2 linked regions of the Caenorhabditis elegans genome follow. The protein of the gene in region 1 purifies or fractionates together with the protein of each later gene. This does not show direct contact. Each region holds a gene or a part of one and is shown on either strand. Other genes may lie near its edges. The genes, in order: slc-30A5 and toc-1.

Region 1 (5,026 bases):
AAAATTGAGATTTTCGCAGTAAAATCTGCAAATTTTTACGGTTTTTTCGCAAAAAACGGTGATTTTAAAGTTTCCGTGAGGCTCATAGACTACAAACTACAAATTTCATGGTTGAGGCTAGCCATTTTTGTAGTTTTTAGTCATGTTTTGCAAATTTATCGTTTTTAAAACGAAAAAAACGAGCGATTTTCAGTTAAAAAGCGTCGATGTTAAGTTTTGGGTGAGGCTACAAACTACAAACTACAACTTGCAATTTTACACGTTGAAAACTAGTTAAATTTAGTTGAGGCTAGCCAATTTTGTAGTGTTTGTAGTCTTTTTTTTTTGTTTTTAAATCACGAAAAACGAGCGATTTTCAGTCGAAATAACTGCATTTATGTTTTGGCTGAGGCTCACAGACTACAAACTACAACTATACATAGCCTCAACCAATGTTGAGGCTAGCAAGGAGTGTAGTTTGTAGTGTGAGCCTCAAATTTGTGACGAAAATTAGTTTTTCATTCACTTTTTGATGAAAAAATGAATAAAAGGATTTTTGAAGTAAAATTGGGAATTTTAAATGATTTTCCGCAAAAAACGGGATTTTTTAAGTTTCGTTGAGGCTCACTGACTACAAACTACAAATTTCATGGTTGAGGCTAGCCAATTTTGTAGCTTGTAGTCATTTTTGCAAAATTTTCATTTTTAAATCACGAGAAACGAGCGATTTTCAGTCGAAATAACTGCATTTATGTTTTGGGTGAGCCTCACAGACTACAAACTACAACCTTCATGGTTGAGGCTAGCCAATTTTGTAGTTTGTAGTCTGAGCCTCAGCGTGTTCAGAGAAAAATTATAAAATTTTTTGGATACTTTTTTAAATTGAATTTACACCAGTTGGGGTTTTAAATAAGACAAAAAAAACAATTTTAATTTGTGGGGAGGCTCAGACTACAAACTACAACTTTCGTGAGCCTCAGTGCCTAATAAAATTGTAGTTTGTAGTCTGTGAACCTCAACCAACCTTCGAAAAAAAATTTTTAAGTAAAAAATGCGCAAAATTTCTGATTTTTTTTAGGTTTTCAAAGCATTTTCATCAATTTTTATGATAAAAATTTACCTGATAAGTCCAATAAACATCGATCAAATAGCTGCACATTTTATCCTTATACAGCATAGTTTCCAGCAATTTCCCGGCCGTCGCTCCCGAATATTCCACGTTTTTCTTCACTTCCACATCAATTTGCGGCAATTTACACAAGAATCGCTCGTTGTTTTTCGACATAATTCGCACATAATCATCGGATAGCTCAGTGTTCCCTGTTTCCAGTGTTGGTGGATCTTTTATTGTCACCGAATCACTTGTAAATGACACATAATAGTGAATAGAATCATCGATTTTCTCAGTTTTGTAAAGAGAAAAGAGAAGAAATAATAGCGGGATAGCTTTTGTCGGCCGAAATAAGCCTGTTGAAACCATTTTTTGAAGGTTTATCACCTGAAAAATCGATTTATTAGCATATTTTTGATAATTTCAGTGAAAAAAATTAAACGGAAAACCCCATTTTAATGCTCATTTTCGGTTAAAACACGTGTAATAGTGTAATAGAAAAATAATGTTCAACGCGAATTGTCGTCAAATAGGGTGTATTTGGTGCAGACACCGTGACGGTAAAATGCACACTTTTAATTTTTGGAACCTTTTTCGGAAATTTCCAATTTATTTCAACCTTTTTTGAACATTTTCGGGATGGAAACTGTATAAATTTTTGATTTTTTTCTCCGAAAATCGATAAATTTCGATAAAAACCCTAAAAATCGCCATTATCCACGATGCTAGCCCACGATTTCGTCAAAAAAGACGACAGAAACTTCACTCCAACGCAATCTTCGAGGTTTGTTGATTAAAAAAAATATTAAAAAGTTTTGAAAATTACAGATCAGCGTCATATTTCGTTGTGCTAGTGCTCACCAAAATTCTACGATGTATTGGAGTCTTTTTCGTGGATATTCTCGCGAAAAGCTCGCATATTGTGAATCTTCTGTGGCTTTGTAAAATAATGTACGGTTTTTAAAAATTTTTTTAAAATATTTTACGCAATTATTAATTTATTTAATGATTTTCAGATGTACATGTATCCTATTCCCCCTGCAAAAGCCTCTTTCAGCCGGAAAATCACTGAAAAGAGGCATAATGCCCATGGTTTTGAAGCTTTCCCTGATGAATAGCGTTATCGAAGTATTCTGGTTTTATGGAATCACACTTTGTGGACCATTACGGAGTGTTCTTGTCTTTGAGCTCAGTTCAACTGTGCTTTTATCGGCGGTTGTCTCATTTTTCAAGGGCGGAAATATGTCAACTCCCTCCAAAACACGTGGATTTTTCCTGTTAATTGTCGGATTTGTGGCGCTTTTCCTTATGGATAGAGACGGAACTATTGAGGATCCACATCGTAAGGATTTGGCGCTTGAAATTCGAAGAAATCACTGAAAATCAGTGTGAAAAATTGGTTGAGGCTATGAAGAGTTGTAGTTTGTAGTCTGTAAGCCTCAACCAAACTTTAAAATACCTATTTTCACCAAAAATAGCTTAAAATTTCCGATTTCCCAGCGAAAATGTTCATTTTTTCATCAAAAATAATGCACAAAAAGCTTTAATAATTTCCGAAAAAAAACATTTAAAAAAATAAAAATTGGTTGAGGCTATAAAAAGTTGTAGTTTGTAGTCTGTGAGCCTCAACCAAACTTTAAAACATCAGTTTTTCACTCAAAAATAGCTTAAAATTTCCGATTTTACTGCAAAAAATATCATTTTTTTTTCATCGGAAATTGAGTAAAAGGTTTTTTTTATTAGTTTCCAAAAAAATTTTTTTCATTAAATCAGTGTGAAAAATTGGTTGAGGCTATAAACAGTTGTAGTTTGTAGTCTGTGAGCCTCACCCAAACTTTAAAATACCCATTTTTCTTCAAAAATCGCGATTTTTAGTTAAAAAACCGAGAAATGAACCAATTTTTCGTTCAAAATCGCTATAAAATTTTTACATTTTAATTTTTTTTTTCAAATTTCCAACTTTCCAGACACCACCCACGCCCACCACAGTGGCCTCAACCACCTCTTCTATCATTTAATTGGACTTTTCGGAATGGCTGATCATAAAGGAGGTCTATGTATTCTGCTAATCTCACTGCTTCTCCGTACCGGCTACGAGACGTCTTTCCGGCATTTAGCTGTAGAAGTTGGCGGTGCAAAGAGGCTTCACACACTTGTTACGGTAATAAAAATTATGGATTTTTCGTGAATTTTAACCCGAAAAAGCATAAAAAATTCCGAAAGAATCACACATTTTCTGCTGGATTTTTTTTTCTGTAATAGTTTCTAAGATATTATTCCTTTAAAAATTCATGAACCGAAAAAAACATTTGCTATAAAGTTATAAATTTACGTAAAATTTTAAGTTTTTTCGCGGAATGTGTCTGGAAAAAATTAGGGAAAATTCGACAGTTTTGGTGAAAAACTGAGAAATTCGATTTTTTTTAAAATTTATAGGAAATTCCCTTTTTTTTTTTGGTTAAAAATTGGAAAAATTCGATTTTTGACGTAATAAATTAGGGAAAATCGTTTTTTTTTGAAGTAAAAAATTGAAAGAATTCAAATTTTTAGGTAAAAATAGGGAAATTCGATTTTCGAAGCAGAAAATTTAAAAAAAAAGGAATTTTCTGGTTAAAAATTGGAAAAATTCGATTTTTTTTAGTGAAAAAACTGAGAAATTCGATTTTTTTTTTAATTTATAGGAAATTCCATTTTTGTGGTTAAAAATTCGAAAAATACGAATTTTTCGATCAAAATTTTAGAAAATTCGATTTTCGAAGTAGAAAATTAGGGAAAATTCGAATTTTTGGGGAAAAAATTCGATTTTTTTTAATTTATAGGAAATTCCCTTTTTTTTTGGTTAAAAATTGGAAAAATTCGATTTTTGACGTAATAAATTAGGGAAAATCGTTTTTTTCCGATCAAAATTTTGGAAAATTTGATTTTTGAAGTAAAAAATTGAAAGAATTCAAATTTTTAAATAAAAAATAATGAAAATTTAAATTTTCAGGCTGGAAGTGCTGTCTGCCTAACGCCTGTAGCCGTACTATCATGGGCTCTTTCCTCAAGCTCCGGAGCTTCGATAGGCTATTTCCACTACGCTGCTCTTCTCGTAATCATTGCTGTATTTGTGTTTGTACTCGATTTCTACGCTGAAAGTATATGCTTCCAACACGTTGCTGATCCAGTTATGGCTGCAGCTCGTTGGTCCTCTGTTACCATGTTCTCGTGTGCATTTGGGCTCGCATACCTTTGGTATGGAAGCCAAAATCTCGGAGATCATGCGTTGACTGGCGGTGTTTCGATCACTGTTGTTTGCTTTATTTTGGGTGCGTTTTTCTCGAAATTCTAATCAAAAAAATGCTGAAAAATCCCTGAAATTGGGATTTTTCGCACCAAAATCCGATTTTTTTGAAAAAAATCGACTTTTCTGGCTGAAAAAATTATTTTTTTACCTTAAAAATCGAATTTTCGCAATTTTTTAACATCAAAAACCGGATTTTCGCTTGAGACCCCCCCCCCCCCCCACTACAAACTACAAATCTTGATAGCCTCAACCAAAGAAAATTGGGTGAGGCTTAGAGAGTCGTGTAGTTTGTAGTCTGTGAGCCTGAACTAAGCTCCATAAACCCGTATTTTGTCGAAAATATCTTGAAAATGTTAGGGTTTCTTGTTAGATTTAAGTTTTCCGTTCGAAATTTAGGAAAAACCCATTTTTTTGCGTTAAATACTGGTTGAGGCTCACACTACAAACTACACTATTGGCTAGCCTCAACCAAAAATTGGTTGAGGCTATGAAAAACTGTAGTTTGTAGTCGTCACAGCCTCACCAAAAACTTTGAATTTTGAATTTTTTTTCACTAAAAGTGTAACTTTTGCTTTATTTTGGGTGCGTTTTTCTCGAAATTCTAATTAAAAAATGCTGAAGAAAATCCCGAAAATCTGGATTTTTCGCAT
Region 2 (4,546 bases), on another chromosome or scaffold:
ACTAATTGGTTCATATCTTAAAAATACGATTTCATAATTTAATCTCTGGCTGTGATTCAGATGATTGATCGGAAAAAGCGTATTAACTTGAATGATATGATTTGAATGATATTATCCAGCTTGAATGAGTAAAATTTATGTCTTCAGGAGTTTTTTCTCCATGTGGATCCACAAAGAAGACAAAATTAAATACCTTGTATGCTCACATTTTAAAAAAAGTAACAACTTTAGAAAAGTATTACCAGAGCCTTACCAATTGTGTTCTTGCCCATGGAAACTGATTAGAAAAACGAATGCGGGATAAAAATTAAGCCGTCAGAATTCACAAGTTCACTGCAAGAAGATGGGTGTGATATCACTTTACTCAATAAATATTTAAAGTGGAAACAATAAATGAAACTCTGTGACTGAGATACGTGAAGCGTTCACAAACTGGAAGAGGAATAATCGGGATAGAGAAAAATGAATAAAGAATTAAATTAGAGAAATTCAAATTGTATTTTTAATGAAACAATTGGGACTTGAGGAGTTGCTTAAGCTCTCGTTCCGTTCTTTCCTTCCTCCTCTTCGTTGTCTTCGAGATCTGGCATATCTGAAAATTTTTTATAATAAATAACATTTTAATACTACATTGGTTTTCTATCATTAACGAATTACTAATAGTAAGCAAAAAGGATATTATTGCACTTAATACTTACCGTCATCTTCCTCATCATCCTCAAGACCTCCGAAGTCTGCTCCGCCAGCTCCTCCCATCTGGGACATGTACTGGTTCAAATCGAATCCGTTCGCCATTCCACCGCCAATTCCGGCTCCGGCATCCTCAGCCTCATCATCCTCGTCTTCATCCTTCCATTTTCCAAAGTCAACCTTCAACCAATGGACCTTTCCCTTGTTTTGAAGAAGTCTTGGCCACCAGGCTGGGGTCTTCTTCTGAACTGTGATCTCAACGACGCGGGTTGAAGATCCAGTGTGCTTTACGGATGCAGGATCGATTTCGTCGAAGAATTCGAGAGTTGCTTCGTACTTGTCAGTTTTGCTGCTTCCTCTGAAAATTTACGAATTACGACTCATTCTATGTACCATCATGAACATTCTGTGAATATTTAGGAAGCAAGAAATATGCTTCATATCGTATTTAAACATTTAAAATAGAAATCGAAATATTAATCCGAAACGTACTGGAAGTGAAGCTTGTTTCCCTCTCCTTTCAGTTCCTCGATTTTCGCCTCATCAACCTCGATGGTCAGATAGACAAGTGATTCACGCTGGGCCCAGAGAACTGTTGGTTGCTTAGCCATGGTTTTTGCCTGTAATTCGAAAAGAGAACTAGACGGATACGAACAATAATCAATAAAATTCAAGGAAGGTGCACGACATATAAATAAGCGCACAGTTGAAATTAGCATGATTATGCAAATTGACGAAAATAAAGCCATCAGATGAAAATGTTTTCATATCACGGCAATAACAAGCAAGAATTGTCCACTTAATTTCTTTTTTCGATTGATTTTTCTCTTACAACCTTTTTCTCCTAAATACAAGGACTATTGGCCAAAATCGATATATTTTAAGTGCGAATGGCATTGAATATAAACGTAAATGGATTAGAAATATAAAGTCGCGAATGTTCTTCAGGAAAATTGCCATGGAAACGCATAATGAAGATGATAAAACGGCAGAAATTCAAATAATTCGAGAGAGTTCCCAAATCGCGGCGAGACCCAGTGGTGAAAGTGCGCGCGCCTTTGAACGAACACGTCTCCATTTACGAGGTTTTGGCTCATTTCAGCTTAATTTTAAATCGTTCAATGAACATTTTTTGATGGAAATATGGAAGCAATGGATTTTCTGAAGAAAAATTTGAATCGTGTTGACTTCCACAGCGTATAGTTGTTAATTTATTGTTTTATGCGTCTAAAATTGTTCAGAAACAAAAATGCAGTGTTCTATTTTCAGATGGTCAGCTTCTCATGGGTATCAAGGTCGTTACACCATCCTCAAGGGAAACGAGGACTAATTTCCACATTAATATGCCTGGCGTGTGTTGGAATTTTGGCATATTGCGTATCAACGAGCCACTCGATAGGTAATTGTTGTATTTGAGTGCAAAAATAATAGTTTTTTGTTCAGTTCTAATGTCAACTCTTTGGATTACGATTTTTTCGTTTTGCTCCCAATTCGCGTCTCTGTATTCCATGTCGATAACCGAAAAACCAACGCATAAATTTAGTTACGGATTAGCCAGAGTACCGGTTTTGGCAGTCTTTAGTACTACCGTGAGTTTTTGAAACACTAAATATTAAAAATGTATTCCAATTGGAATCAGTATTTTTGAGATTAAAAATAACCTTCTTCAGGTGTTGGCTCAACTATTTTCCATCTTTTTATCGAAGGAATCATTCGAGCACTTGTTATCCCCTGATCACCATGGTTCTCATGATGCTTCAGCGGCTCACGAACATGAAGTAGAAGAAATCGGCGGCTGGCCATATTTTGTTGGTTCTGCTGCATCTTCAGTGGCGCTGCTTCTCTCAGCATACGCTCTTAAAAATCAACCGTTTCAACATGTTCTTCAATCAGCAACGGCTTCAAGTTTGCAAGAGCATGCAGCTGATTTGTCCCATGCTGTGTGCTGGGTTATTCCTGGCCTTTCGCGTCTTCTTCTGCCAAGAATCAATTCAATGGTATTGTTAGCCTTGACGACTACTGGACTGAACTTGTTATGTGAACATTTCAAGTGAGTTTAGCTATCATACACCTCATTTGAAACATAATTTTGGCCTATAAATTACCGTTTTACGGCTATGACCTTCAATAAATCAGACAATTAAAAAAATTATATAAAATTTCTCATTTCTAGGCACGACTTCGCATGGGCTGATCCAGTATGCTGTCTGCTGCTCTCTGTTGCTGTGTTCTCAACGATGTATCCACTATCAACATATACTGGAATGATTCTACTTCAAACAACTCCTCCGCACTTGATTAATCAAATTGATCGGTGTATTTCTGAAGCTTCTCACATAGACGGTGTTCTTGAGTTGAAGAGTGGACGTTTCTGGCAACTGGATTTTAACTCGCTGGTAAATCTTCAGTTTAAAACATTTTAAAAAAAGTAAAATTCTTATTAATAATTCTCAAAATTCCTCAATTATTTGTTCAAAAATCTGTTAATAAGACGTCCGGTTTTTCAAAACTAACTTTTCGAGTTTTTATTTCGCGTTTCATAATTTACTAATTTAGAAAAAAAAAGTGTCAATGTATTGTAGCAATTGTAGCAAAAAAAAAAAGTTTCCATTTTTTTGGGATGAAAAAATTCGCAAAAAATTTTCCCGTGGTGGAGAGTTGAACTCAGTTACCGATTGAGCCAGGGAGGATGAGGAAATCCTAGGTCGAAAAGTTCGAAAAGGAAAAGCAATCGAAACATGGTCGAAATTTAAAACCATTTTTAACGCCTCAAAAACTGGCACTAAATTTTAGTTGATTTTATACAATTGGATTATTTATAAGATAATTATTTTATGTTAAAAAATCAATAAAAATATTTAAAAATTTAATCTTTTTTATTATTTTCAGGTTGGCACTGTTGATGTTCGTGTACGACGAGATGCGGATGAGCAGAATGTTTTGGCTCATGTAACCGAAAAGTTTTCATCTGTAATCACAGTGCTGACTGTTCAAGTTGTCAAAGACGCTGCATGGTCTGCAGGAGAGCAAGTTCCATATTCGAATGGACATATTCATAAGAGTGAAGGAAATCATTCACATGATAATGGGCATGGACATTCTCATGATCATAATGATCATGGACACAGTCATGGACATGATGATCATGGCCACGACTCTCATGGACATAGTCATGATCATAACGAACATGATCATGGTCACAGTCATGGAGGAAATAATGATAATCATGGACACAGTCATTCTGCAGGATCAGACAATCATCATGGACATAGTCATGACGGCGTTTTTTATCATTAGTGCTATAGATTTTTGTTGAAAACATCGGGTTTCGCACTATTTTGTATTTCAATCCTATTTTGTATTTCAATCCAATCTAGTTTAAGAGTTCAACCAAAAACTGAATTTCATGTCGTATTTTCTGTACATATCCGGGCTGGCCCAGTACATTTGTTTACCTCTTCTAGTGTTCCCGCCACCAAAACTTTAATTTATTTACTTTTTTCCTGGATTTTATAGCTGTGATTGTATTTTCATTTCCCATGAATTCTCATCTAGTGATATTTAAATTAATTAATTTATTCATTGTTCCCTGTTTTTCGAAAGCTTTGCTCCTTCTTTTTACAATTTAATTTTATAGAATACATTTTCCTTTAAAAATTTTTTTTTTGTTGACATTTTTAAAATTGGCAGAAACCATTGTGATAATGTTTTCAACACATAAAATTCCACTGAAAACGTTGAAATACAGATGTTCCGTGTAATAACCCGTGGAGCACATACTGCTGCTTCTCGTCAAGCACTTATAGAGAAGATCATTCGAGTTGATCATGCTGGAGAGCTTGGAGCCGATCGGATT

The links.
Region 2: the proteins of slc-30A5 (region 1) and toc-1 purify together in Caenorhabditis elegans (affinity purification with western blotting, with the first as the bait; one study listed by BioGRID). This does not show direct contact.

What each region holds. Positions count from the first base shown.
Region 1 is NC_003279.8:14,356,850-14,361,875, forward strand, and holds the start of slc-30A5 (Proton-coupled zinc antiporter SLC30A5), read left to right. Parts: upstream 1-1,712; 5' UTR 1,713-1,812; coding exon 1,813-1,874; intron 1,875-1,918; coding exon 1,919-2,041; intron 2,042-2,106; coding exon 2,107-2,432; intron 2,433-3,057; coding exon 3,058-3,251; intron 3,252-4,079; coding exon 4,080-4,398; intron 4,399-5,026. Other genes in the region: Y105E8A.2 (Endoplasmic reticulum lectin 1), read right to left, coding at 1,100-1,459.
Region 2 is NC_003281.10:5,273,456-5,278,001, forward strand, and holds toc-1 (similar to Transporter Of divalent Cations), read left to right. Parts: upstream 1-1,833; coding exon 1,834-1,887; intron 1,888-1,959; coding exon 1,960-2,089; intron 2,090-2,133; coding exon 2,134-2,279; intron 2,280-2,360; coding exon 2,361-2,740; intron 2,741-2,863; coding exon 2,864-3,086; intron 3,087-3,579; coding exon 3,580-3,987; downstream 3,988-4,546. Other genes in the region: ztf-8 (C2H2-type domain-containing protein), read right to left, coding at 1-14; Co-chaperone protein daf-41, read right to left, coding at 534-592, 699-1,048, 1,183-1,301; clk-1 (NADPH-dependent 3-demethoxyubiquinone 3-hydroxylase, mitochondrial), read left to right, coding at 4,439-4,546.